6 linked regions of the Mus musculus genome follow. The protein of the gene in region 6 purifies or fractionates together with the protein of the main gene of each other region. This does not show direct contact. Links are inferred from orthologs where the notes say so. Each region holds a gene or a part of one and is shown on either strand. Other genes may lie near its edges. The genes, in order: Ptges3, Lzts2, Fam53c, Dcaf7, Fam117b and Dyrk1b.

What was found.
Region 1: the proteins of Dyrk1b (region 6) and Ptges3 purify together in Homo sapiens (affinity purification with mass spectrometry; 3 studies listed by BioGRID and IntAct, with this or other methods). This does not show direct contact. The link is inferred for Mus musculus from reciprocal best matches to the Homo sapiens genes DYRK1B and PTGES3.
Region 2: the proteins of Dyrk1b (region 6) and Lzts2 purify together in Homo sapiens (affinity purification with mass spectrometry; 3 studies listed by BioGRID and IntAct, counting the BioPlex papers as one, with this or other methods). This does not show direct contact. The link is inferred for Mus musculus from reciprocal best matches to the Homo sapiens genes DYRK1B and LZTS2.
Region 3: the proteins of Dyrk1b (region 6) and Fam53c purify together in Homo sapiens (affinity purification with mass spectrometry; 3 studies listed by BioGRID and IntAct, counting the BioPlex papers as one, with this or other methods). This does not show direct contact. The link is inferred for Mus musculus from reciprocal best matches to the Homo sapiens genes DYRK1B and FAM53C.
Region 4: the proteins of Dyrk1b (region 6) and Dcaf7 purify together in Homo sapiens (affinity purification with mass spectrometry; 10 studies listed by BioGRID and IntAct, counting the BioPlex papers as one, with this or other methods). This does not show direct contact. The link is inferred for Mus musculus from reciprocal best matches to the Homo sapiens genes DYRK1B and DCAF7.
Region 5: the proteins of Dyrk1b (region 6) and Fam117b purify together in Homo sapiens (affinity purification with mass spectrometry; 3 studies listed by BioGRID and IntAct, counting the BioPlex papers as one, with this or other methods). This does not show direct contact. The link is inferred for Mus musculus from reciprocal best matches to the Homo sapiens genes DYRK1B and FAM117B.

What each region holds. Positions count from the first base shown.
Region 1 is NC_000076.6:128,068,087-128,072,798, forward strand, and holds part of Ptges3 (prostaglandin E synthase 3), read left to right. Parts: intron 1-585; coding exon 586-699; intron 700-1,129; coding exon 1,130-1,199; intron 1,200-2,047; coding exon 2,048-2,146; intron 2,147-3,981; coding exon 3,982-4,071; intron 4,072-4,712. UniProt on the Homo sapiens protein: Cytosolic prostaglandin synthase that catalyzes the oxidoreduction of prostaglandin endoperoxide H2 (PGH2) to prostaglandin E2 (PGE2).
Region 2 is NC_000085.6:45,023,158-45,027,604, forward strand, and holds the end of Lzts2 (leucine zipper putative tumor suppressor 2), read left to right. Parts: intron 1-384; coding exon 385-1,047; intron 1,048-1,561; coding exon 1,562-1,822; intron 1,823-2,644; coding exon 2,645-3,328; 3' UTR 3,329-3,947; downstream 3,948-4,447. UniProt on the Homo sapiens protein: Negative regulator of katanin-mediated microtubule severing and release from the centrosome. Required for central spindle formation and the completion of cytokinesis.
Region 3 is NC_000084.6:34,768,867-34,772,545, forward strand, and holds part of Fam53c (protein FAM53C), read left to right. Parts: coding exon 1-86; intron 87-1,731; coding exon 1,732-1,992; 3' UTR 1,993-3,679.
Region 4 is NC_000077.6:106,042,928-106,047,639, forward strand, and holds part of Dcaf7 (DDB1- and CUL4-associated factor 7), read left to right. Parts: intron 1-3,763; coding exon 3,764-3,922; intron 3,923-4,709; coding exon 4,710-4,712. UniProt on the Homo sapiens protein: Involved in craniofacial development. Acts upstream of the EDN1 pathway and is required for formation of the upper jaw equivalent, the palatoquadrate. The activity required for EDN1 pathway function differs between the first and second arches.
Region 5 is NC_000067.6:59,946,870-59,951,581, forward strand, and holds part of Fam117b (protein FAM117B), read left to right. Parts: intron 1-2,183; coding exon 2,184-2,335; intron 2,336-4,712.
Region 6 is NC_000073.6:28,178,391-28,183,770, reverse strand, and holds the start of Dyrk1b (dual specificity tyrosine-phosphorylation-regulated kinase 1B), read right to left. Parts: upstream 3,456-5,380; 5' UTR 3,424-3,455; coding exon 3,345-3,423; intron 2,263-3,344; coding exon 2,099-2,262; intron 1,411-2,098; coding exon 1,291-1,410; intron 1,193-1,290; coding exon 1,004-1,192; intron 708-1,003; coding exon 560-707; intron 1-559. Other genes in the region: Fbl (rRNA 2'-O-methyltransferase fibrillarin), read right to left, coding at 4,616-4,640, 4,728-4,873.

The sequences.
Region 1 (4,712 bases), on a different chromosome or scaffold from region 6:
CATTAAATGTTAGATCTTAGCTTCAAGTCCTGTTAACCATGATGAAAGGGGGGTTATTTTTGGGTTGGGTGGTGTTTTGTGTGTTTATTTTTGGCTTCGTTTGATTCTTTTTTTTTTTTTTTTTTTTTTTTTGAGATATATATATATTTTTTTCTGTATAGACTTGGCTGTACTGGAACTCACTCTGTAGATGAGACCAGGCTGGGCTCAAAACTCAGAGGTTCCACTGCCTTCCTACTTACTGCTTGAGCCGCTACCACCTGGTTTGTTTGTTTCCAAAGCCTACTTTTTGTCCTATGATAAATGAATGGCATTGTGTGGGTAGGGCAAGGAACGATCAGGTATTCAAGGCCAATGTGGGCTACTTAAGAGCCCTGCCTCATTCCCTCATCTCCCAGAATAAACTCCCTATTAGGAAAGTTTTAAGTCTTCCTGAAAGTACTTTGTTGAAGCCTTTGGAATGTAAGATAAATGTAAAGTGAAATTTAAACTTGTGATGGAGAAGAGAAATAAATGACTGTTAAATATGAAGTTATAAATACTCAAAGAATTCCTTTTTGAATTTATCATTTTCTCTACTTATAGGCAGCCTGCTTCTGCAAAGTGGTACGATCGAAGGGACTATGTATTCATTGAATTTTGTGTTGAAGACAGTAAAGATGTTAATGTAAACTTTGAAAAATCCAAACTTACTTTCAGGTAATTTGCCTTTTGTCTTATTTAAGGTGTCTATTATTACTGTGATGAAACACCATGATGTTGGGTGGAAATGGATTATTGGGCTTATGGATCCACTGTTAATCATCAAAGGAAGTGGAAGCAGGACAGAGGACATGGTGGGGTGCTGCTTACTGGCTTGCTCAGCCTTTCTTACAGAATCCTGGGGTGGGGGCACCCACAATGGGCTGGGCCCTTTCCTATCAATCACTAAGAAATGTACTATAGTATAGGCCTTCTTACAGTCTGATCTTATAGAAGCATTTTCTCCTTTGAGGCTCCTGTCTCTAGGATTGTGTAGAATTGACATGAACTAGCCAGCCACCTTTCTACATCTGTGTTACCCAAAGCTTACTGTATGTAACTGGCTTTCTAATCTCTTTCTCTGTCTCACTTTTTTTTTTTTTTTTAGTTGTCTTGGAGGAAGCGATAATTTTAAGCATTTAAATGAAATTGATCTTTTTCATTGTATCGATCCAAATGTAAGTACCATTGATGCTTTTTTTCTGATTTAAATGATGAGAAGCTGGGCGTGCTGCTGTTATCTTAGGGTTTGTTGCTGTGAGGAAACCATGACATGGCAGTTTTTATAAAGGGAAACGGGCTGGTTTCCAGCTCAAGGATTCAGTCCATTGTTGTCACAGAGGGAAGCATGATGGCATGTAGGCAGATAATTGTGCCAGAGAAGTAACTAAGGGTTCTACACCTGGAGAGGCAGGAAGAGACATCAAAGCCCACCTGAAGAGGCACACTCCCCCCAATAGTGCCACCCTTCTCAACAATGCCAGTCCCTATGAGCCTGTGAGGCCACTTTCATTTAAACTACCACAATAATAAACATTAAATCTTAAATCTGCTTAGCCTAACAGTTTAGACACTCAGCAACCTCTCTTCCTACATATTTTTTATTCTGTCACTGGCAAAATGACAGTACCTTTGAAATCTTTCTATCTTCTATCAGAAATTTTGAGTAGCCAAAAAGCTTGTTTGGAAAGAAATTTTAAAAAATGAATCAGGCTTGTGGCTATAAGCTGAAAGTTTAGGAAGTAGTAGCAACTCAGAAAAGCTTTGCCTATGTAGGAAAACCACCTCAGAGGAAAGAGACAAAACTTTGTGTAGAGGATCCCTCAAACACTCAGGGGGCTAATTGTGGAGGATCTTGGGTTCAAGACTGGGCTGCACAGTAACAACCAAATTATGAAGGTCCAGCTCTGTTACAGAGAACTTTCCTAGCATGTTTCAAGGTCCTAAATATTATCCCTTAGCAGTATGGTGGGAGGGCTGTTTTTATCATAGCAGAGAGATGAGTGATATGATGCTTTTGTTGTAGGATTCCAAGCATAAAAGAACAGACAGATCGATTTTATGTTGTTTGCGAAAAGGAGAATCCGGCCAGTCATGGCCTAGGTTAACAAAGGAAAGGGCAAAGGTAGGTTGGGTTTTTTGTTTTGTTTTGGTTTCTGTTTGATTGTTTTAATGTTTTAAGAATTAAAAATAGGTGTCTTTTACTCCTGCTTCTTTCGCTTGCCTCTTGCCCCTTTGCTCTCCCTTTCTCCCCATTCCGTCTTGCCCCCTCCCCTCTCCAAGTGGTCATGGTTGGCCTCTACTTCTCCACTTTCTCCTCTGCTTTTCTCTGCTTCTGCTATTCTCTTAACTCCCCTCCCTATGTCCTGAATAAGCTCTATTCTGTACTTTAAAAAAATAAAATAAAAATAGGGCAAAGAGCTGGCTAAGAGGTTAAGAGCACTCACTGTCTGCTCTTTGGAAGGTCCTGTGTTCAATTCTCAGCAACCACATGGTGGCTCACAACCATCTATAATGAGATCTAGTGCCCTCTTCTGGCCTGTAGGCAGAATCTTTTTAAGCCTAAAAATACTTTTTTTTTTTTGGCTTTTCTAGACAGGGTTTCACTGTATAGCCCTGGCTGTCCTGGAACTCACTTTGTAAACTCAGAAATCCACCTGCCTCTGCCTCCTGAGTGCTGGGATTAAAGGCGTGTGCCACCACTCCCGGCAATACATTTTTATAATTGTAAAAAAGCTGGTGTTCTATACTTGGCATTCTCATCAAATGTCATAAAATCAGACCGTAGTTGATTAGGATCTTTTGCATTGGAGAGACAAACTTTTGCATCAGGTGTGGTGGCACACTTGAGGCTAAGGCAGAAAGGTTGTGACATCAAGACTAGCTTGCCTGGGTTTCTTAGTTACTATTGATGTGACGAAACACCATTTGAAACAATTTGGGGAGGAAAGAGTTTATTTATATTGCTTATACTTCATATTCTTAGTCCATCATAGCAGAGCAAGAACTTGGAGGCAGGAGCTGCTAGTCCATGGAGGGTGCTGCTTGCTTCTCATGGCTTGTCCAGCCTCTGTTTCTTATAGAACCCAGGACTGCCAGCACAGGGATGACCCCCACCCCAAGTGAGCTCGGCCCTTCAATCACTAATTAAGTAAATGCCTTACATCTGGATCTTACGATGGCATTTTTCTCAGTTGGGTTCCCTCCTCTCAGAGGACTGTAACCAGTGTTGAGGTGACAAATTAGCCAGCATACTGATAAGTTACTTGGTTACTGTAGGGGAGCAAAGTTTAGTGACATTCAAGATTCAAGGAACTGAGGATAGGCTGGCAGGGTGAAGGTGATTAACTGCCAAACCTGAAGGCCTGAGTTCTGATCACAAGATGGTACAAGGGGAGAGTATGTTAGAAACAGGATATTTCTTTGAATTTGAGGCCAGCCAAGTACCTTCATAGTGAGGTACTGCGTAGACTGTAAACAGTGGCACTGGGGTATCTCAGTTGACAGAATACCTAATATGCACAAAGCTGTAGGTTGGAAACAACCTAACAGCATGACCTATAATCCATCTCTAAAGACGGATTAATAGTTGAATGTTAGCCTTTGTAAATTGGATTAATTCCAGGTATCATGCAATACTTCCCAATAAATGTTTTTGTATGAAAGGTTAAATTGGACAGTCAAAAATGATTCCTGGAGCCAGTCTGTGGTGGCGCAGGCCTTTAATCCCAGCACTAGGGAGGCAGAGGCAGGCAGATTTCTGAGTTCCAGGCCAGCCTGGTCTACAAAGTGAGTTCCAGGACAGCCAGGGCTACACAGAGAAACCCTGTCTCGGGGGGAAGAAAAATGATTCCTTGACTTATTACCCCTCTTGGTTTCTTGTGGATTTTTCTTTTTGAGCTGATTTTATGTCTCATTACTGGTTATGAATAACATGGAGGTGATATTGTTGATCTCTAGCTTAATTGGCTCAGTGTGGACTTCAATAATTGGAAAGACTGGGAGGATGACTCAGATGAAGACATGTCGAATTTTGACCGTTTCTCTGAGGTAAGTTTTTTTAATTGCATTTTCTACCCTGTTCCCATAATATATTCTATATAATCCTTTTAATCCCTTTTTTCTTTTTCCATTTTAATGTGTATGGATAGTTTTTGCCTGCATATATGTGTCTGTGCACCACTTGGGACATGGTTCCAAGGCAGAGTCTGAAGGTGGTGTCAGGGTCCCTGGTAATGGAGTTACAGAGGGTTCCGAGCCACTATGTGGTTGTTAGAAATCAAACCCCAGCCTTCTGAAAGAGTAACAGGTGCTCTCAACCACTCCTTGGTCACCCTTTTTGGTTTTCTGGACAGAAACCCATGTAGTCAGGACATGTCACAACTGCTTATAACTATATTTCTAGGGGATCTGGTAGCCTTTATCATGTCTGGACTGTTCAGGCACCAGGCTTACATATGATGGACAAACATCTGAAGAGATGGTCTTAGGGTGAAGCGTTCCTTTGAGACAGGGTTTCTCTGTGTTGCTCTGGCTGTCCTGGAGCTCATTCTGTAGACCAGGTGGATCTCTTGAGTTCAGGACAGCCAGGGCTACACAGAGAAACCCTGTCTCAGGGGATGGATGGGGAGGGGACAGTTACTGTTGATCAACTGGTAACCCTAACCACTGAGCCATCTCTTCAACTCCCC
Region 2 (4,447 bases), on a different chromosome or scaffold from region 6:
TTGTTTTGTTTTTAAAGATTTATTTATTATTATACATAAGTACACTGTAGCTGTCTTTGAACACACCAGAAGAGGGCACCAGATCTCATTACGGGTGGTTGTGAGCCACCATGTGGTTGCTGGGATTTGAACTCAGGACCTTCAGAAGAACAGTCAGTGCTCTTAACCGCTGAGCCACCCCCCACCCACCCCCCACCCACCCCTGTAATCTTAAAAGGCAGAGAAACCTTGCTTGTGATCAAGCCTAGCTTGGGGATACAAAGTGAGTGAGCTCGGGCCAGTAAAGTAAAACCCTGTCTCAGAAAAGCAACAGAAATAACATTTTAAAAAGGGCAAGGGACTGGGCAGATCACCCTCACAGTGTCAACTGGTGCCTCATTTCAGAATATGGAGAAGATCCTGATCCGGCCAACAGCCTTCAAGCCAGTGCTACCCAAACCTCGGGGGGCGCCATCCCTACCCGGCTTCCTTGGTCCTCGAGCTGCTGGGCTATCTGGGAGCCAGGGCAGCCTGACACAGCTGTTTGGGGGGCCAGCCTCTTCCTCCTCCTCTTCCTCTTCCTCCTCTGCTGCTGACAAACCCTTGGCACTGAGTGGTTGGGCCAGTGGCTGCCCTTCAGGAACGCTGTCAGACTCTGGCCGAAATTCTTTATCCAGCTTGCCCACCTACAGCACTGGAGGTGCCGAGCCAACCACCAACTCCCCAGGTGGGCACCTGCCCTCCCACGGCCCTGGCCGAGGGGCACTGCCTGGTCCAGCCCGAGGGGTCCCTACTGGGCCCTCCCATTCAGACAGTGGCCGGTCCTCCTCCAGCAAAAGCACGGGCTCCTTGGGGGGTCGTGTAGCTGGGGGGCTCTTGGGCAGTGGTGCCCGGGCCTCCCCTGGCAGCAGTTCTGGTGGAGACCGCTCTCCACCCCCTCCACCACCTCCACCCCCTTCGGATGAGGCCTTGCTACACTGTGTCCTGGAAGGGAAGCTCAGAGACCGCGAGGCAGAGCTGCAGCAGCTGCGGGACAGTATGGATGAGAGTGAGGCCACAGTGTGTCAGGTGCGGCCAATGGCAGTCCTGGGGCCGTGGGGCTGAATACCCAGAGCGTTGCTGTTGGGGAGGGAGAGGGTCAAGACTCCTGGTGTGACACCCCTCCCCCCCAAGGTTGGTTAGCTTAACCTTCAAAGCGGTGAGGAGGCAGGGTATATAGGAATTGGACCCAGCACTGTTTTGTAGGGTGTTAGGTTTGAGCAAGTTAATCAATCTCACCGGGCCGCAGTCTCCCTGTGTAAATGGAGATAACTGTGACTCCCTAAGGGGGTGATGAAGATTAAATAAGACAAAAAGGATAAAGTCCTTAGACTAACACCTGATACCTAGGAAAGGCCATATAAGTGCCTGCTTTTATAATTGTCATAATTCACTGGATTCAGGCCAGGCAGGGAGCTACCCAAGCAGGAGATGGTAGAGCTCATGATCGGGGGGGGAGGGGGGCGGCGGCGGCGGCGGCGGCGGCGGCGGCGGCGGCGGAGGGACTGGACCGGACCATTTCTAGCCTGAAGTCTTTCCCTAGGCATTCGGGGCACGGCAGCGGCGCTGGCCACGGGAGCGAGGGGAGGACTGTGCAGCCCAGGCGCAGCAGGCCACGCAGCGCGTCCAGCGGGCCCAACAGCTGCTGCAGCTGCAGGTGTTCCAGCTGCAGCAAGAGAAGCGCCAGTTGCAGGATGACTTTGCCCAGCTGCTACAGGAGCGGGAACAGCTGGAGCGCCGCTGTGCCACTTTTGAACGGGAGCAGCGGGAACTCGGGCCACGGCTGGAGGAGACCAAATGGGAGGTATGCATGATGGACGCCGGGCAGGATGAAGGGGGTCACGCTCTGCACAGCTGGCCCACAGTAGCTACCGTTCCGGGTCTGTCCTTCCTTGTCAGGGTTGGAGCATTCCTTGTGCCTCTGTTGGATCTCACGGTTGTGATCTAGTGACCTCACAGCTAGTGGCGTTTCCTTCTCTGTTAGATGGGTACTGTTAATACCTCCGTTTCATGAATGAGGAAAATTGAGCTAGAGCCTTGAATTAAAGTAGCGGTGGCTGGGCTGAGATACAAACCCAGGCAGCTTTTGTTTTTGTTTGTTTTGGTTTTTTTTTTTTTTTTTTTTTTTTCAAGACAGGGTTTCTCTGACAGCCCTGGCTGTCCTGGAACTCACTCTATAGACCAGGCTGCCCCCAAACTTAGAAATCTGCCTGCCTCTGCCTCCCAAGTGCTGGGATTAAAGGCGTGTGCCACCACCACCTGACCAGGCAGTTTGTTTTTGATGTCCTCTCTTAATCCAGGATGCTTGCCTTTCACCTGACATGTGAGAATTGCCCTGGACTGCCGCACTCCACTCCTGCAGTCTGTGCCACCATCCCCAGGCCTGGGCAGTCTTTATAAAGAATCCTGGCATAAGAATCCTGGCATTGAAAGGAAAAGATCTGGGTCTTTGTTCTCCTTTCGCCTCTTACTAGAAGTATAACCATGGAGGCATCACTAGGCTCGCCTCCTGCTGTGCGTCCATGCGTAAACTCCCGAAACTGCATTTTCTGGAATACCCAGCATACCGCCCAGTGCCCAGTACCTAGAGGCCTCACCATCTTTCCTCAATACTTTGCACCCACAGGTGTGTCAGAAATCAGGTGAGATCTCCCTGCTGAAGCAGCAACTGAAGGAATCTCAGGCAGAGCTGGTCCAGAAGGGCAGTGAGCTGGTGGCGCTGCGGGTGGCCCTCCGTGAGGCCCGGGCCACCTTGCGGGTCAGTGAGGGCCGTGCCAGGGGCCTGCAGGAGGCAGCCCGAGCTCGGGAGCAGGAGCTGGAGGCCTGCTCGCAGGAGCTTCAGCGGTACCGCCAGGAGGCTGAGCGGCTCCGGGAGAAGGCCGGGCATTTGGATGCCGAAGCATCGGGACTCCGGGATCCCCCTGTACCCCCTGCCACCACCGACCCGTTCCTCCTGGCAGAGAGTGATGAGGCCAAGGTGCAGCGGGCAGCGGCTGGGGCAGGGGGTAGCCTGCGGGCTCAGGTGGAACGGCTGCGCCAAGAACTGCAGCGGGAGCAGCGGCGAGGGGACGAGCAACGGGACAGCTTTGAGGGGGAGCGGCTGGCCTGGCAGGCAGAGAAGGAACAGGTGATCCGCTACCAGAAGCAGCTGCAGCACAACTATATCCAGATGTACCGGCGTAACCGGCAGCTGGAGCAGGAACTGCAGCAACTGAGCCTGGAGCTGGAGGCCCGCGAGCTTGCGGATTTGGGCCTGGCGGAGTCGGCCCCTTGCATCTGTCTGGAGGAGATCACTGCCACTGAGATCTAGGGCTCTGCAAGGGGTCTGAGCCACAGAGGCCCACCTGCCCGGGGATCCACTGAGCACGCGCTCCAGGTCTCAGAGCCAAAGGGCCTCGGCCGAGCATTCGGGTGGCTCCGTAACTTGGAGAAGCAGCAGAATCAACCCTCTGTGTCACCGTCACCCAGAGGCTCCTGCCTACTCTGCCATTTCACTCCCTCACTGTCGCCACTGCCAGCCCACTCCAGCTGGGAAGGGAAAGAGGCTGCTTCCCTGTCTCCGCATCTACCTGCCTGAAGCCAGAGAGAGCCCGAGGGCAACCAGCTGCTCCAGATGTGCCTGCCCTCAACATGTCCACGTGGAGGGGCAGGGCCGGGCATGGGGCTGATCCCCATGTTGAGCTCTGCAAGCCTCTTCTGGGCTGAGGGGGCTGAAGTCAGACCAAAGGAAGAACCCAGCAATGTCTTGTTTATTTGTGTTTGTGACCAAGCCGTCCTCCCTAGTTCCAGGGTTACGGCCTCATTTCCACTTGTATATTTTTCACACTGTAAATTTCTTGTACAAACCCAAAGGGGAAAAAAATTTAAAAAAAAAAAAAAGTTTTGTTTTAAAAAAAAAAAGTGCAATGGATAAAGAAACTGCAGGGGAATTTGTTTGACATCCATCTCTGCTTGCTGGCTGCTCGCCTACCTATGATGGAATTCTTAGGACTAATCTAGTAGAATCCTGGGTCCTACTGGACCACACCATGAGTTTTGAGGAACTAGAAAAGCCTTCCCATCCTGTCCTCTACACTGAACCCTGCTTGAGGCTGGGGGATGATTGCAGTGACACCCTCCCCCCACTTGAGGACTCTCAGTTTACGACCCTCAGATTATGGTGAGCCAGGTCCATCGTGAAAAACCTCACACTAGTCACAGGCTCCAGACTTGAGTCTGTCTGTCTCCTTACTGGGAAGCAGTCCAGGATTAGGGAATGCACATGACATGGGTTGCCCACTAGCACACGGTGTTCTTGGACATCCAGCTTGTCCTGAAAGGCCAGAGCCCTTTTGACAGCCGGGGTGGATCAGAGCCACCAGTGTGGTGGTGCTCTCAGTAGTCAAATGGATAGGATAGAGGTACACAGAACCCAGAGGCAGCAGGAGGA
Region 3 (3,679 bases), on a different chromosome or scaffold from region 6:
ATGCCCGCAAAACTGGTGTCAAGCGGCGTCATGAGGAAGACTGCAGGCGCCTTCGGCCTTCCTTGGACTTTGACAAGATGAATCAGGTGGGACTGGCAGACCAGAAGCTGTTTAAACATCTCCTAATTCCCTACCTTCTGGCAAGGCCTCCCTGGGAACTCTTCTGTCTAGAGTTTATACAAGAAAACCACCCTGGCAGTATTGAATTTTAACCTTTAATGTCTTCTGCCCTGTCAAGTTAGTCCTTAGTATTCTAAAGAAACTAGACTGAGGCCTTAAGCCTTCAGACAGGGATCCTAATTGTCCTGCCAGAGGCACTTTTCCTCTTCTCTGAGAACTCTAGACCACAGGATTCCTGTCCTCAGTGTCTCCTCTGCAGTCTCAGGGCTGGTTTTGTTCCCTGGCTTCAGTGCCCCCTGTCAGCCTTTGGGAGCTTAAGCAAGATGAGCAGTGGCTTTCTAAGCCCTAAGCTGAGAGCAGCCACTGTGGGTGACTTGTCCCCTTTTGCCATAGTTTTCCTTCCAGATCGCTTGGTCATAGGGCTCTGAGAAGTTGTTCTCTTAGTCATCCAGCTATTCAGAAAGCATTCATGGCAAAATCTATGTGCTTGAGTCTGCTTAGGCATTGGCAGTGAGTGGCCAGATAAGCAGATGGTGGTGTGGCCTCCACTGGACCTTATAATTGAGAGGGTTTTGTTGTTGTTGTTTTGGGTTTGTTTGTTTGTTTGTTTGGTTGGTTGGTTGGTTTTTCTTCTTTCTTTTTTTCTTTTCTTTCTTTCTTTTGGTTGGTTTTTCTCCTTCCTTCCTTCCTTCCTTCCTTCCTTCCTTCCTTCCTTCCTTTCTTCTTTTCTTGATAAGGTCTTTCTATTTAGCCCAGGCTGGCTTCAGCCTTTTGAGCTATGAGGTTTCAGATATCACCATGCCCCATCATAACTCAGCTCTGTTCTTTTTTGTGGCTCTTGTGTGTGAGTGAACCTGTGTTCTTAGGCTATGTAAATACTTTGCCACTGAGTTAACAATACTCGCTCTGAGAGCTTCTGTTCATTGTTGCTTTGGGTTGGTTTTTCGAGCCAGGGTCTCATAGTTATAGTCCTAGCTGGCCTAAATGCACTATGTGACAGGCTGCTCTTGAACTGGCAGAGATCTGCCTGCCTCTTCCTTATAGGTGCTGGAAACTGGGCCAGGAGGTGGTGCAGGCCTTTAATCCTGCTCACGGAGGCAGGAGACAGGCAGATCTCCCTAAGTTTGAGACCAGACTGCCGTACAGAGCAAGTCCCAGGACAGCTGAGACTATAGAGAAACCCTGTCTTAAAAACCAAAACACACCAAAAGGTGGGAACTGGGGTGCCTTCCCCAGAGAATGTACACTAAATGTTCCAGATTTTATGATTTGGAACCTTACTCTAAAGCATAAAATTTCAAGTGTAACTGAGATGAACACTTTACATTTTGGAAGGCCAGGAGAGATGGCTCAGTGGTAAGAACATAGGCTGCGCTTCCAGAGAACCTGAATTTGATTTTCAGCACCTACATAGTGGCTAACTGTCTGTCAGTCCATTTCCAGAGGCTTCGAAGTCCTCTCAGGCCCTCTGCAAGCACACGGAGTACACACATGTAGGCAAAACACTCAACACAGAAAATAAAAAAAATCTAAGGGGGTTTTATTTGTTTGTTTGTTTTATTTAAGTGACTTTGGGAAATTACTATATATTTTTTTTAATTTTGTTGACAGAAACCATACTCAGGAGGTCTCTGTCTCCAAGAAACAGCCCGAGAAGAAGGCAGCAACGTCTCTCCACCATGGTTCATGGCCTGTAGTCCCCCACCTCTCTCTGCTTCCTGCAGTCCCGTCGAGGGTTCATCCCAGGTGCTGAGTGAAAGCGAAGAGGAGGAAGAGGGGTCTGTGCGGTGGGAACGGCAGGCACTGAGCAAGCGGACATTGTGCCAGCAGGACTTTGGGGACCTGGACCTGAATCTGATTGAAGAAAACTAAAAGTGAGAGGCTGCTTCCTGGGCCCATGCAGACTGTGTAATGGTTACTAACACGTGTGAGGGCCCCAAGGCTGAGGGCCCAGCCTGGGAAAGGGGGTGAATGGAGGGCTCCTACTCAGGGCAGCCCAAGTCTTCCTGCTCCAGCAAACTCGACCATGCCAAGAGACTGGCGGGGACAAGATAAATGGAGCTGGTGACGGGAGGGACAGCCCCAGAGCAGACCCTCCCCATGGCGGCCCTGAGTGTGAGTATCCCTGCCACTAAGAGCAATGGGCAGGGAAGGAAGGGGTCTGCGACCCCAGCTCGGGGAATTTCACTAGCCCCTTTGCTTCAAAGGGCACTTGTGTCTTAGAATTTGGCCAGGGTGGGGGGGTTCAGTCAGCCTCCTCGGAGAAATTGTGTGAGTGTGCGTGCGTGCACGGGTGTGTACTTGTGTGAGTGTGTGTGCGTGCATGGGTGTGTACTTGTGTGAGTGTGTGTGCGTGCGCGCATGGGTGTGTACTTGTGTGAGTGTGTGTGTGTGTGTGCATGGGTGTGTACTTGTGTGAGTGTGCGTGTGTGCACGGGTGTGTACTTGAGGAAAGGTGCGTGCGTTTGTATAGCCTTAGGGAAGGAAGGCAGTTGCTCCTTTAACAGCAGAGCGTCAGGATACCCCCAGGATCTTGTGGGTTTTTTTGTTTGTTTGTTTCCTTAATATAACATTGGGCTTGTTCAAGGTGTCAAGAGGAGAGAGTTTTTGTTTTTGTTTTTGTTTTTTTTTTCGGTCTTAATAGCTCTGGAGCCAGGCTTTTAAGTTCATCGCATCACTGCTCTGTAAATGGTTCTGTTTTGGGGTCTAGCAGAATCTTTTGAGTACTATGATTTCAGCTAATGGGCTTTTCTGAAGTCCCGCCCTCTCCCACTAGATGAATCTAGTATTGAGGCTTGAGGCAGTCCCCACACTTGTTGTTTTCATTGTCTAAGCTGTCTGCAGCCCGCTTCTCTCGCTTGCTGAGAAGCTGCAAGCAGATGGACAACTGAGGCAGAGCTAAGGAGCTTGGGCGCTCTCCTCTTCCCCAAGGGGACCTTTCCTTTTCTGATCTTACAAGTCAGAGACAGGGTTGCTCTCCAAGAATGTGTTGAGGCAGACCAGGAGCAGTGACATTATTCCCTGGAAGTCCTTGAGGCCACCCTCAGCACTGCCTTTTGGAAGCTGGCTGTAGGGAAACTTACTCTTGCAATATCTAGGCCCGGTCTCTCTCTGATCTGCTTGAAAAAGAGGTAGGGTGTTCAGCATTTAATAGTTTGCTTGTCTTCCACACTTGCCAGGAAATGTTTATTTGCTTCTAATTGGCCCTGAGAGACCACAGAGAGGCTGGGGCTCACCGAGGGATTGACTTGGGGTGTGTAAAGCAAAGGCTATGAGAAGCAGCTGGGAGTTTGTTGTTGTTGGATTGAATTTCTTTTTTTGTTTCTCACCCACAACTTCAGCCAGTGCAGCAGATCCAGTGGTTGGAGGGATGGACTTGAAGATTGCAGTTACCTTGGTAGGGTTGGCACCTGTGGGCATGCATATAGAAGCTGTCACTATGCATCCTGTGAGGCTTTGTTTAGAACACCCTGTATAGCGAAATTGGACCTGCCCTTCCCAGTTGTTATAGTAAGGGCACTTTTCTGTTCAATTTCCATGGTGTCTTAAGGCCCAGTTC
Region 4 (4,712 bases), on a different chromosome or scaffold from region 6:
TGGCTGGGGACGGTGGGGATGGTGAGGCTCAGGTCACAGCTACTCCTGTCATGTGGAAAGCTGGCGCTCTTCCTAAGCCCTTGACTCGCCTGGCACTCTGTGATGCAGTGTTTGCCCTGGAGCATGCCCTCCTCATCCTTTGGCATGACTGGGAATATAGACAGACCATAGAGGGTAGGATGGAACAACTTCAGGTGCTCTGGAAAAACTGTTTCCTTTAAAGTATGGCACTAGAAAGTTCTTACAGTGGTTTGATTATCAGTTCTCTTAAACTCCAAAGTGCAAGAAGGAGGAGGAGGAGGAGGGGGGGGGGAGGAGGAGGAAAGGAGGGGGGAGGAGGAGGAAGGAAGGAGGAAAGAAGGGGGAAGGAGGAGGAGGAGGAGGAGGAGAAAGAAAGAAGAAGAGAAACACTCCATGCATTCAGGAGTGTCCATGCATTGCTGGCTGCTCTTGCAGGGGACCCAGGTTCAGTCCCAAGCTCCCACACAGCAGCAGGGAAATATCTGTAACTCCGGGGCTCTGATATTCTTTTCTGGCCTTCTCCAGCACCAGGCATGCAAGTGGTACACAGACATACATGCAGATAAAACAGCCATACACATAAGATGAAGAAAAAAAAAATGGTTTCAGGTAAGAGATGGGTTCATTCAGACGAGGTGGAGATCTGAAAAAGAGGAGTCTCAGGCCTCGGGACAAATCAGGCAGTGGAAAGCTGTGCCCACACCCTACAAGTACAAGTTGTCTTCTTCTGTCTTCTTCACTCTGTTGCAGCTTTTCCTGAATCTCTATGCAGCAGTGGATCTGGCCTTTTCCGTTTTCCCTTTTAAACAAATACCTGGGACTAAGTTGGATTAAGTCCCCATGTTTCCAGAAATGGATTTGGTTGGCTCGGTCATCCAGCCTAATGTGGCAAAGCTAGTGCAGTGCCCTCAACCCTGACTGTGCCAGGACCCCTGGGGGCTCTCGCAGATATGATGCTTGTTTGTTTCATTACCATAGATTCTCATTTCACTGCTCTGAATATTGCTTGGGCCTTGGGATGTTCTTAAAGTTCATTGTAATATAGAGCCACCATTGCAACCAGCTGATCTGAGAAGAGCTTGGGGTCAAGCTGTAGTCATGGAGTGCTTAGAAATTGGAGTCCTGGATGGGTAGATTATTCTCCAGTGGCATCTCTATTTGGATCCTCCATCTTTCCAGTTGTCTAGATATACACTATGCTAGAATAAACTGAAATATTTCTTTAAACTTTAAGACTCGGGATATAGCTCAAAGTCAGACACTTGTGTGGCTTTGAGTTCAAATACCATTACCACATACATCTTTCTAATACAGAAATCCTGCTTTTGGGACTTGGGTACCAGAAATAATGACAGCAGTATCCAAACACAGGGAATATTAGAAATAGGTACAAGAAAGCTGAATTTGGAAGCAATAGCCAACTGTATGAAAAGAAAAACACAAGCCCTGTCATTAAGACACTAAGGGAAACTACACCAACCAGTAATGTCAGTGTCTCATGAGGCACTATGGGATTAACTGTCAAATGCATCATACTGGTAATTACTAAAAGACAGAGTCAGGAAAACTGCCAATGCTTTGTGGAAGAAGTAAGATAGAATGTTGACACTTGTACATTGGGAAAGGCAGTTTACACAGTTATTAAGAGTAGGTATCAGGAACATCTCAACTCTACAGGTTGGGAACCAGGATTAACAACAGTGATGCAGCTGAGGCCCTGCAGCTAGTGAATGGTAGAGTCCTGGAAGCCTGATGTCACTGGTGTATTAATAGTAATCAGGATTGAGGTTGATGAAAAGGGTGTAGACATAATTTACAAACTTGGAAAGATGTATAAGGAAAGGGAGAATATGGAAAATGGTGATTAGAAGAGGGAATGGAAGATAAGGTTAGCTGGCATTGGGTGGCAGTCAGCGTTGGCCATTGGGTCTAGAGAACCTTAAGTAGGAGATGTTTCACAGGATCTGATATTTGGGGTTTGGGAAACATGTCTTACGATGGATGACAGGCAACTTTTAGAAGTGAGTGTAACCCCTTTTTCCAGTTTCACTTTGAAGTTATCTACTTCCTGTGTCCTTCTACTTACACCTAAAAGGAAGACTTCTAAGATCCTAAGGTCACTCACTTCCTCGCCTGTTCAGATTGAATTTGAGGACTGGAGAATTGCCTCAGAACTATTATCAGTGATAGTGTTAAGAATACATCTCTTCTAGGGTAGTGGTGGTGCACGCCTTTAATCGCAGCACTCAGGAGGCAGAGGCAGGTGGATTTCTATGAGTTTGGGGCCAACCTTGTCTACAGAGCAAGTTCCAGGACAGCCAAAACTACCCAGTGAGACCCTGTCTCAAAAAAAAACCAAAAGGAGGAGGAAGAAGAGGAAAGGAGAAGGGGAGGAGGAGGAGGAGGAAGAGCAGCAGCAGCATACCAGTGTATTACCTGTTGCTTTGCTTTTATTGCTCTGGAGTTTCAGAGCTTGGGGTTCTGTCTCCTTTGCACCCATACTCCTTATCTCCCTACACATTTACAGACCTTGGACATCTCTGCCTAACTGCTAGAAAGTCTGCTGATGACTAAGTGTGTAGATAGACACAGGAAATTCCTTACAAATGTATAATTGTACCAAAGTTAAAGATCTAAAATTAATATATTATTACTAATTTTAATAATATATAATTAAAATAAACTATTTCGACATAATATCAATAAACAGTTGAAAATGGGGTTTAAAAATCATGGTAGGTAGTGTAGGGAAAAATACAACTAAAACCCTAAAAAATATATTTGAAGTAGCATACAATTACATAGAAATAAAGTTGGTGAAAGAGTTGAAGATCTCTCTACACACCAAACTTTAAAGCATTGCTTTAACAAGCTGAAGGTGACCTAAATAACTAAATTCCCAAACTGAATCATAGATTCAAGACAGTTGGAGTCAGAACCTCAACGGCATTTTGTACATTTTAAAGAGATGCTCTTAAAATTCACACAGAAAGACAGTAGCGCAGAAGAGCAAAGGTTTACAGAGAACTGAAACTCAATGGGAAAACCACTGGACCCAATAAATAGAGCAAACCCTCAGAAGGTGGAGACAAGGCCTGTGTGCACAGTGAGCTTGAGGGTAGCACAGACTCCATGAAGCCTTGTCTCAGAAGATACTCTTCACAACACCATAATGCCAAATATGTGTCCTTTACTTCCTAAAACTCAGAATGGAGCTGCGTATGGTGGCACAAACCTTTAATCCAAGCACTCGGGAGGCAGAAATAGAATATCTGTGAGTTCAAGGCCAGCCTGACTCAAGAAGCTAAAATGGGGGCTGGGAATGTAGCTCGGTTGGTAGAACACTAGCCTAGCGTACATGAAGCCCTTGTTCAATTCCCAGCACCTTCATTAAGTAGGCTGTGATCGTACTTTCCTGCAACCCCAGTGTTTGGGAGGGAAGGCGGAATGATCAGATGGTCTCAGAAAACGGGAGAGGGAGGAGGAGGAGGGTCATTCAGCACTTAGAGTCAGAAAACTTGTATTCAGATCTTCTATCTTTTTCTATCTTCGTAGACTGTACTGAACCCTGTGGTTCTTGAGTTTTTATCTAGTGCTGGGATCAGAAGTCTAGGGGTCCTTCACCGTAATAACTTGACTGCGCACTCAGTGTAGTCGTGTCAAGACTGACCAGAAATCTGATGTGTTTGATCCTGCTCAAGAAAAACAAACTCTCGTGTGGTTCAATTGTGCTGCTTTGCAGGTTCAGCTTGTTGGTTTAGATGAGGAGAGTTCAGAGTTTATTTGCCGAAACACCTTTGACCACCCGTACCCTACCACAAAGCTCATGTGGATTCCTGACACAAAGGGCGTCTATCCAGACCTCCTGGCAACAAGTGGTGACTATCTCCGTGTGTGGAGGGTAAGCAGAGGCTTTACCTGCGGGTGGCCAGGCATGCTTTCTTGGGGACAGCTGACAGCAGTGTGCAGTCCTGAAGAGCAGACAGCTAGTATCACTGCCACATGGAAGAAGCACAGGACGTGCCTGTGGACTGACCTTGTTTCAGCTCAACGGGTTTTCTAGGAAATGTAGCCCAGGTCTTGCTGCTGATGGGGACAAGCCTTCTGTGAGGCAGAGAGCACTTGGGACCCCCTACTCCATTACTAGACAAGACACTCCTGAGTAAGGAGATGGCAGGGTGTTGATCTTGATGCACTCTGTGTGGAGCTTCTCTTCTCAGCTGAGCTCAGCAGCCTCCCTTGTGCTCGGGAATCCAGGGCCTGCCCCGAAGGCAGACAGGCTGCTAAGAGCTCTAGAGCGAGGCGTTGGTGAAAGCTGAGAGAGCTAAGCTGGGGAAGGGGGAAGTTGTAAAAGAAGTCCAAACTCAGGAGTCCCTTTGGGTTTTATTACCCTTTATCATAAAAATATTTTCTCCTGTTCTTAGATTTATTAAATAGGATTTTAAAAAAAGATTTATTTATGTATGTAAGTACAATGTTGCTCTCTTTAGACGCATCAGAAGGTGGCATCAGATCTCATTACAGATGGCTGTGAGCCACCATGTGGTTGCTGGGAATTGAACTCAGGACCTCTGGAAGAGCAGTCAGTGCTCTTAACCACTGAGCCATCTCTCCAGCCCCCTAAGCAGGATTTTAAGTAGGGATGGTATGTGTAGGCTGGCTAATGTTTTAAATCATTGTTTCTACAGGTT
Region 5 (4,712 bases), on a different chromosome or scaffold from region 6:
CTGAATTTCCAATCCCAGAGGTCCCTTTAAAAACTTTACTTATTACTACTATACATACATTGTATGATAGCTATGTATAGGACACATATGTCACAGCTTGTGTATGTGGAGAGATCCAAAGACCACTTTGTAGAGTCAGTTCTATCCTTCATCTTTTTGTGATCTGGGAATTGGACTCAAGTCATCAGGCCTTATCAACAAGTGCTTTTAGCTGTTAAAACATTTCACTGGGAACTGGGGAAGCTACCAGCAAATCACGGATGCCAGGAAAACAAGATGCTCCCAGGACCCAACAGAGATGAGATTAGCTGAAATGCCCAACAAAGGAGAGGGAGAACCTACAGAGACCATATCCAGAGGTTAGGCAAGGTTGGGGGATGGGGCCACCCACTCATCTCCAAATTTTTAACCCAGAATGGTTCCTGTCTGAAGGAAATACAAGGACAAAGTGTAGAGCAGAGACTGAAGGAAAGGCCATCCAGATACTTCCCCACCTGGGGATCTATCCCATGTATAGACACCAAACCCAGACACTATTGTGGATGCTAAGAAGTGCTTGCTGACAGGAGCCTGTTATAGCTGTCTCCTGAGAGGCTCTGCCTGAGCCAGACAAATACAGAGATAGATACTCAGATGTTCGCAGCCAAGCAACCATTCGACTGAGCATGGGGTCACCAATGGAGGAGAAAAAACTGAAGGAGCTGAAGGGGCTTGCAACCCCATAAGAAGAATAACAATATCAACCAACCAGACACCCCCCCCCCCAGAGGTCCCAGGGACTAATACACCAACTAAAGAGTATATACATGGAGTGACCCATGGGTCCAGCCATCTATGTAGTGGAGGATGGCCTAATTGGGCATCAATGGGAGGGGAGGCCCTTGGTCCTTTGAAGGCTTGATGCTCCAGTGTAGGGGGAATGCTAGGGCGGAGAGTCGGGATTGGGTGGGTGGGGGAGCACCCTCATAGAAGCAGGGGGAGGGAGGTGATGGGGGGGCGGGGGGAACCAGGAAAGAAGATAACATTTGAAATGTAAATACATAAAATATCCAATTAAAAAAATAAAGACAGTGCTATCAAATTAGAGTGGATGTAAGCACATGAAAAAAAAAAAAACCATACCACTGTTAGGGTGTTGTTTGCCCAGACTCTTGCGCGCGCTCAACTGGCCAGGAAGAACGATGCTGCAACAGGATCCTTCTGCACACGTTTATTGGGAGAGCTTGATTGTAGAGGCGAAAAGACTCTGAGCCCAGAACTGGTGCTGCTTTTATAGGCCTAGGAGAGGCGTGTCTTACACCCGGATTGGTTATGCACTATGCCTCATTTGCATGTTCCTCATCTGATTGGCTACTCTCTCTCTCAGTACCTCACAGAGCCTCATTATCATACCTCATTTGCATGTCTCACATCTGATTGGTTACTCTCTCAGTACCTCACAGAGCCTCATTATCATACCTCATTTGCATGTCTCACATCTGATTGGTTATACTCTCAGTACCTTACAGAACCTCATTATCATGCCCGGGCCAGGCAGTGTCTTTGCAAAAAACTTTACTGCATATGTACACATTGGTTGTTTGTCCAAACTTATGCGTGGTGGCCAGCAGTAGTCAGTGCCACTCTGCAACGGCACATGTGGCTTCCCACACCAGACCTCTCTCAGTCAGGAACTGTATTTTCTAAGGGTCTTTATTAGTTGTCTTCTTAGAGTCAGACTTAAGAGTATGCATAGCTAGTTGCTAAGGCTGAAGCCTAAAGGTTCTGAACTAACAGTATTTGCTTTATTTATTTATTTATTTATTTATTTAGTTTTTTTGAGACAGGGTTTCTCTGTGTAGCCCTGGCTGTCCTGGCACTCACTCTGTAGACCAGGCTGGCCTCGAACTCAGAAATCCGCCTGCCTCTGCCTCCTAAGTGCTGGGATTAAAGGCGTGCGCCACCATGCCCGGCCAGTTTATTTTAAATATACTACATATGAAATGATAGTATTTAGCCCTTTGGAATCAACTGTGAGTTGTGTTATCAATACCTGTTCTTCTATTTTTGTGGTCAGTGTTTTAGATTGGGTCTGGGCTTTGTTTATTGCCTTGTTCTTACTTGTTTGTTTTTGCATATTTAAGTTGAAGAACTTCTATAAAGCTTAAAATTTTTTTACATGAACACTTTTGCTTTATACCTAGGTGACAAAACACACCCGCCTTCCTCAAGCTCCTCCAGCATTATCCGACGCACATCTTCCCTGGATACCCTCGCAGCTCCATACCTTGCTGGGCACTGGCCCCGAGACATTCGTGGGCAAGCCGCACCCTGCATGAGGGACAAGGCCACACAGGTAGGTTTCTCTTACTTGTTCTTCTCTGAAGCATTGAGTGCACACCAGAATTTCCTCCGAAGCTTTTGAGAAGTACAGGTTTCCAGGCCTACCTTCCAGATATTTGTCTGGATTTGTTTGGCCTGGGAGCATGAATTTCTAAAAGTTCTCAAAAGTAACTCCCATAGAAATATATAATTGCGAACATACTTCCCCTTATTTATTCCTTAGAAGTTAGATTACATTCTCACAATATTTTCATGTCTGGAATTTAGACTCAAAAATTTGTAGTAGAGGATTATTCTGCATACCATTTATTTTTGTGCCCCCAAAACCTTTATATTTTGGGAGAGCTATATTACATTGTTGATTTTGTGTGTGTGTGTGTGCTCACATATCTGCATGCTTATACTGTAGAGTGCTTGAGTGCATATAGAAATTAGAGCACAACTTTGTGAAGTCAATTCTCACTTTCCAACTTTACATGAATTCTAGGGATTAAACATAGGTCAGCAGTGCGCTATCATACACTACTAAGCCCATTTACTGGCTCCATTGCTAATAGATTCCATAAATGTAAACATCTCAACAAATGGTAGTCTGAAAGTGAAGTTTCATACTTTTACATCTATCAAATTGACTAATTAAGAGGATGCTAGAATGTTAACATATAATAATTTATAAATTTATAGTTAAAGAGTTGAAGTCCAGCTAGAGGTGGTGACATGTGCTTTTAATCTTAGCACTTGGGAGGCAGAGGCAGGGAGAGCTCTGAGGCCAGCCTGGTCTACAGAGTGAGCTCTAGGAAAGCCAGGGCTACACAGAGAAACCCTGTCTTGGGAAAACAAACAAACAAACATTGAAGTCCAATATTGTACAAGCAGTTCATGATTGCATGCTAGTTTGGAGTTTCTTTTTATAGTATTACCACATTGTAATTAATTAGACATTTGTACAATCATTTACCCATTGTTTTTCATACTTACTAGACAGTGAATCCCAGTAAGGTGAAGCTGTGTCTGGCTCACTGTTGCTGTTTTCTCAGGAACAGCAACCGTATACCTGAGTAGTAAGTGCTTGAGGAGATTTTGAGGAGCATTTGCAAAGCCGTGGATCAGCAGCACAGTATTGCACTCTTGGTAATGGAGAATGAAAGGCTGCAAAGACTTCTAGTACTGTTTGCAGTTAAGTTTTTGCATTGAAAAATTGTAATTACAAACTAAATTCGACATAGAGGACTTACTCCAAGAAATGTCATCTTATTGGTTAGGATAGAATAGACAGACAGGCCTGAAAACATAAAGCCTGGCCTGGGCACTTCAGGAGGGCCACCTGGTACCCCTGCAAGATGGCTGTGCCTGTGTTTAAAGTACCTCATTGGACCTGAAGATGCTGGAGCATCCAAACAGACCATGGCTTTTGTAAATAGGCAATGCTGAAGCCCATTGTGATAACCACATCCAAAAGGCTTTTCCATCTAGGGAGCCAGGCCTGGGTATGTTATAGGAAGATTCTGGTGTCCCCATGACTCTGGAAACGTTGTTGAACTGATGAATAAAATAAGAGTAAACCTCTGAAGAACTGGGTGATGGGAGTTGTGAGCCCAACCCTGTCTACAGTCTCCTGTGGGTTCTCTAATTTTAGTTTTTGGTTTTGGTTTTTGTTTTCTTTTTATCTTAATGGAAGCCATGTATTTTTTTTTAAACAATTTTTTTATTAGATATTTTCTTCATTTACAATTCAAATGCTATCCTGAAAGTCCCTTATACCCTCCCCTCGCCCTGCTCCCCAACCCACCCACTCCCGCTTCCTGGCCTGGCATTCCCCTGTATTGGGGGGTATATAATCTTTGCAAGACCCAGGGCCTCTCCTCCCAATGATGGGAAGCCATGTTCTATTAATCATGTTCCTTGATTGAATGTCACCCAAGATGTCTCCCAGAACAGTGGCACCACCTCTGAGCCTGCATTCTCTTCACTATCCCAGAAGTTACATGCCAGCACCATTCTGCCTGTTCACATCCCATGACCCCCACCACTTGGAATATGTGTTGAAAATGCCTCCGCCCCTTTATCTGTCATATAAATCATTATACCAGAATTATACTTGCCTGTGTGATCTATATAGTAGCTGCAAGATCTAAGTTACATAAAGGGAAGTTCCATTACTTCACATCACAGTGTAGATAGAAGAAAGATTTACATTTCCCTATATTGTTATCTGTAGAAGTCTTTTGTTTAAAGTCCAGCAACTTTAAGATATTTTGAGCCTTTTTATAATAAAATGATTCTCCTGAATATTCATCAGCATATTTCTAGATACCTGTAAATTGGAATGTACTCTTCAGTGCTCAAGCCCTGAAATCTTTGACACTATGAAAACACCTGCATGCCACCCA
Region 6 (5,380 bases):
CCTATCTCAAAATAGTCAAGTAACAAAAGGTCTGGAGATGTTCTGGGGTGGGGATGGTTGAGGGGAGGACCTGTTTGCCTATTACATATAAAGCACTGGGCTCGATCCCCAGAATAGCAAAGCAAAACCTCCAAAAGTATCACCATCACCAAAACCCGAACTACCAAAAGAGCCTGCTCTCGTCTTTGCTGTGTCTACCCATGTGCCAAGGGATACTGGCTGTCCTCTACAGAGTCCCTTTCCAGAGGAACTGAAGACTGGGACATATCTCAAGAGCCAGAGCTCTAGAGGCCACTGCTTTTCACATCCTCAGCTGTTGAGTCTGATGTGAGAGCACTGAGTGCCTCAGTCTCTCCAACATGTACTCAGAGCTGCCCCGTCCCTCACCAGCTGCGGGGAGGTAATTCAAAGCAAGGGTTTGCAACACAATCTGGCCCTCAGTGAGCACAAGAGAGAAATCCTGAGCACAGCAGGAGAATCAAAGGATGAGAAGCCCAAAGACCCTCGTGGAGGTCTCTCTCCCACAGGCACCCTGCACCTGCCCAAGCCCAGGCCTCACCTATGTAGTACTTCATCTCTGTATCATGCTGGTTCATCAGCTCCAACAGCCGTAGCTCAATCTGTGCCTGGTTCAGGAAGGCCTTTTTGTTCTTGATGATCTTGATGGCCACCAGCTCCTGAGTCTGGTGATCATAGGCTTTCACCACCTGTCGAGACAAGGAGAGTTACCTGGGAAGGTGGGAGGCCCACCAGCCACACCTTTCTAACAACTCACAGCCCAGTGCTCACATCCCTTATACTGGATACAAAATAACAGTTTTCTTACAAGAAGCCTTGTGATTTATACTCATACAGAACTAAGAGGGAAACTAAGTGGCTTGACTGGCTGGTCCAGGACAGAACTTGCAGCAAGTGAACCAGTGAACCACTCGGGGAGGAGGGAATGTTGGGAATGTTAGTGGTTGTCTGCATCCAGATACTGGATGAGTGGGGAGTCCCACACCTGGCCAAAGGAGCCTTTGCCAATAAGAGAGTCAATCTCATAGCGCTCTAGCCAGCGCTCGCCACTGCGCACAATGTAGTCGTGGTTGTCGTCATCATAACCGTGGTTCAGGACCTTCTTCTCCTTTTTGGTGCTCGAGTCCTGGGGTGGCGCCTGTTGGGCCCGCCGCTTCTTCTTCGCATAGTATACCTGCTCAGGCAGCCAGGAAACCGGACCCTTAAGTGACCCGGGCAAGAAGCCAGGACCCTTTGCAACACCCAACCAGGGAAGTCCATTCCCCGCTTTACCTCATTGATGTGCTTGTAGGTCTTGATGAGGTCCACCGAGAGCTTGCGCAGCGGGGCTGAGGCCGCATCCCGGAAGGCCAGGGGCAGTCTCCGGGGCAGGAGCCGCACATCAGGTAGTACCTGTGGTAGAGCGGAGCAGATGCTGAGCACAAGCCTTCACCTCAACTTCCAGGGAGAGAATGGGAAAGCTGACGACTCACTGACCATGCCTACATTTCTCTAGCTCCGATCCCACCTGTAGAGCACAAGCACACTGTGTGGGCTCCCCATTCATCTGTTCATTATGTGAAATGAGTGATTTACCTCTGGCCTTCCATTCTGCCCCAGGTCAGCTCTTTTGCTCCATATCTGGGTGTTTACCCCTGAATCTTTGCACCTGAGACCACCATTATGGGGAACCATGCCAATGAATTCCCTGTATCCATGTCCTCACTCTCAAGTGAGTGTTTCTGCCCAGTTACAAAGCTCCTGGACTGGGTTAGTCTCCCTGGTCTCAGCTTATTCTCATTTCCACCCCCCTCGACATCTCTCTCATGCCCCTTACTCCAGACCTCGTTCTTGTTGTGAACCTTCAGACCTGTGTTCCTGTCTGCTCTGTGCCAGTGACAGTTCTGACCCAAGACACACATTACACTTCAAAACCATGCTGTGAGAGGGCAGGCCACGGAGAAGCTCAAGGATTCCGTCCTCAGCAGGAATGAGGGTGGACTGTGAGGCCTCCAAAGTCCCCAGAGATCCTCCAACAATCATGCTCTTGTCTGGAGACCCTTCAATCCTCAGGCAGGTGAGAAGCCAGCTGAATGCCTACCTGTGTGTGTTCCTGGGGCCCCGGAAAGCCAGAGAAAGGACCATGGCCTGGTGGGACGGCCATGGTGGGCTCAGAGGGCCGCAGGGGCGTGAGGCCTGGAGCGGGAGCCCGGCCGGGGGGCGCCTTCTCGCATCCTGCACCTCGGCTGCCACCGCCGCTGAGACCTGAGAGCAGGTAGGAAGTGGGAAGACAACATGGAACAAGAAGGCATGTAGGTCAGGGTCAGTCAGAAGAGGTGGGTATGAGTTAGGGGCAGGACCAGGGGGAGACAGGGGACAGGGCAGAGCACCAGCACCAGGTAGCCATGTACAAACAGAAAGGGTAGCAAGTGGGTTAGCACAGCGTGTCTCTCAACAAATGAGGAGCCAAAAAAAATGAATGAAGCATCACATCCAGAGATGTAAAAGGGAGCCATCAGAGCCAGACAGGGGTGGGAGAGGGTGGGTACAAGGCCAGGGCAGGAGGGATAGAAAGAGGCCAGGAATTAGGAGAGCAAAAGAAGGCAGAAACCGTGTAGAGTCTGGGCAGTAGAACTCAGTCCTTCAAAATTTTACTGGTGGCCAGCCTGAGTCCCTCAGATAAGGCCCCGCCCTCACACCGTCTTCCCTCAACACCAAGGGCCCAATTTCAAGCCCAGTCTACCCACTAGTTTCTTTCTATTCTAAAGAACATAGCAGTCCTTATGGACCTCCCAGCAAACCCAAGGTTATCTGAGAACTCCTTTACATGCAAGCTATAGATGTTTCAACCACCTCGGCACTTTCCCCTGGGACCGACTCCATACTCCAAGACCGCTCCCTGCTCCCTATATGAGGTCTCTGGAACCAGAGATCCTTCTTTTAAGCAGTCTATATTTATCCCACTAGGATTCCCCCATTACTCCAAGACCCCTACTCCTCAGGAAAACAAGGGAGAGGTGTCATTTTTCAACATCTAAGAGTCACGGTCTTTTTCTTCTTTACCCTGAGGTCCTTGCTAGCTCCTCTATTTCTACGCTGGGTCATTCCACAATTGAGCCTATTCCTAGAAGGGCCTGACAGCCAAATCCCTAAATATCGCACAAGACTTCACTCACTAAAAGTGTCCTTCGGAACAAAATCCCCTTCTTAGGAGCCTCCCCCTTGTCAGATCCCCTTCTATGCTATGTCTTGCCACTCCAGGTCCCCTTTATTGGGGCTTCACAGATAAACAACCTCTTCCCGAGCCCTCCCACACTAGGACCAGCTCTTACAGCTCCCACCCCTACCCGGGTCAGGGATGGCGCTGGGCCCACGGGGGGCTGGAGCGCGATGGGGACCCCAGTGCGGTGGGCGAGCGGCCAGCATGGCGGCGGTGGTGGTGGCGGCGGCGATGAGGAGGTGGCCGCCTGTCCCCGGCCCGGCTAGCCTAGCCAGCCCCGCGGCGGTGAGGGCAAGCGGGACAGGCGGCCCGGTGGGTGACAACAGCAGCCGCCGCCACTGCCACCGAGGGGGAGGGGCGGGGAAAGGAGGGGACGAGGGTCAGACCAGGGCACGCGGGGGAAGGGGACAGCAGGTGGACGGGGGAGGGGCGGGTTAACCCTCGCCCTACGGCCCAGCCCCGCCCCGCGTGGCCACCCGCCCCCAGGGACCCTGGCGTCCCGCCCCCCACCCGGCAGGCCCGCCCCGGCCAGTGGAGTCCCGGCGGGCGGGGCCCAAGAGAGCCCGGCAGGCCGCACCTCCCATGGCAACAACCGCGCCATTGGTTGTTGCTGCCAAGAGCTTAACCAATTAGCACTCAGGGCAGCTGTTGCTAGGCGACAGCGAAGCGGCCAGCGCAGCCGAGCCCAAACAAAGGGCGGGAGTGGGGCCTGGCTGCCCCCTCCCCGACTCCCTCTCAGGACGGCTCCCTCGGGCTCAGCCTCTTCCAGGAATCCAGCTATGAAGAGCCGGACTCCGCTGCAACGGCCCAAAGCCCCCTCCTTTCCCTTGCTAAATCTCGCGGGGACGGGCAGGGCGGTTCCCGGCCTGCCCCCCACCCAAGCGTGCCGCCCCGCCCGTCGCAGCACCCTTACCTGAGGGCGTGGGTAAGGGGATTCAAACTGCTCGGGGAGCCCGAGCTCAGACCTGCCCACTGGCTGAGGGTGTCCGGTGGACGCGGCGAGCCAGGGCCCCGATTACCCAGTAATGCAACCAGCAAAATGGCGACCACAACAAACCGGCCCCCCTGCCCCGGCTCCGCCCCCACATCATTCACGTGACCTAGCGGAGCACAGTGCGCCTGCGCCTTAAGGGTGCTGAGCCGCGCACGTGCGGAGCAGCCACCAATGGAGCATGCACCATGTGACCGGATGAAACTTTCCAGGCACCACCCCCCGAAGCACACAAAGTTGATCAAGGGCGCATGCGTCTCGAGGCCACTTAGCAATAGGCACCAGACAGGGGAGACAGATGAGTCTTTTAATAGAAAAACAAAACAACTCCCCCGCCCCCAAAAAATCACAAGCCACACGTGCAACAGTAACAACACACATCTCTTCAATCCAGACAGCTCTGAGTTTCAGTTCTTCACCTTGGGAGGTGGCCTGTGAGGAAATCAGAGGGGGTCGAGTTGTAACCACTTTTGGCTTCTCAGGGCCACAGGTAAGGGAGAGGTCTGTTGTGACACTCACCTGTACACACCGACAACCACGGCGTGGTCTCGCTCATAAGGCTCTAGCGTCAGCTGCTCCTGCGGCTTCATGTTCTCCTGCTGCATCTTCTTCACTTCAGATGCAAACACAGCCTCTGCTGACGCAGTGGAGTCAATGCAGTTGGCCTAGAAAGGAGTCAGGACTAAGTTACAGATTTGGAGACCCAGGCTTTCCCAATTTTCTAACTTCATTAAAGAAGTTTTAATTTGGCTCACATTGGAAACAGGTTATTTCATTTATCTAAGGCAGTGTTTAAGGTCAGGAATTTTCTTCCATATCCTGGAAGCCCAGCTGGCAAAAACAGAACAAATGTAGCAATAGCAGCCTGGTCTACAGAGTTGAGTTCCAGGACAGCCAGGGCTATACAGAGAAAACTCTGTCTTGAAAAAACAAAAACAAAACAAAACAAAAAAAAAACCCAAAAACAAGTGTAGCAATAGGTTGGCCAGTTTTGAACATGGTGAGGATGCGCGAGAGTTTTCCCTATTTAAAATTAAAATGTTTTGAAAAATGTACCTGCTGCAGTTAATATTGTACCCCACAATCTGCTCCAAATGCTTAGCAGCTATCAGTCTTTATTTCAGCCATAAGGAGGACTAATAAACAAGTCAGATAGGCTAAGGCGCCATAAC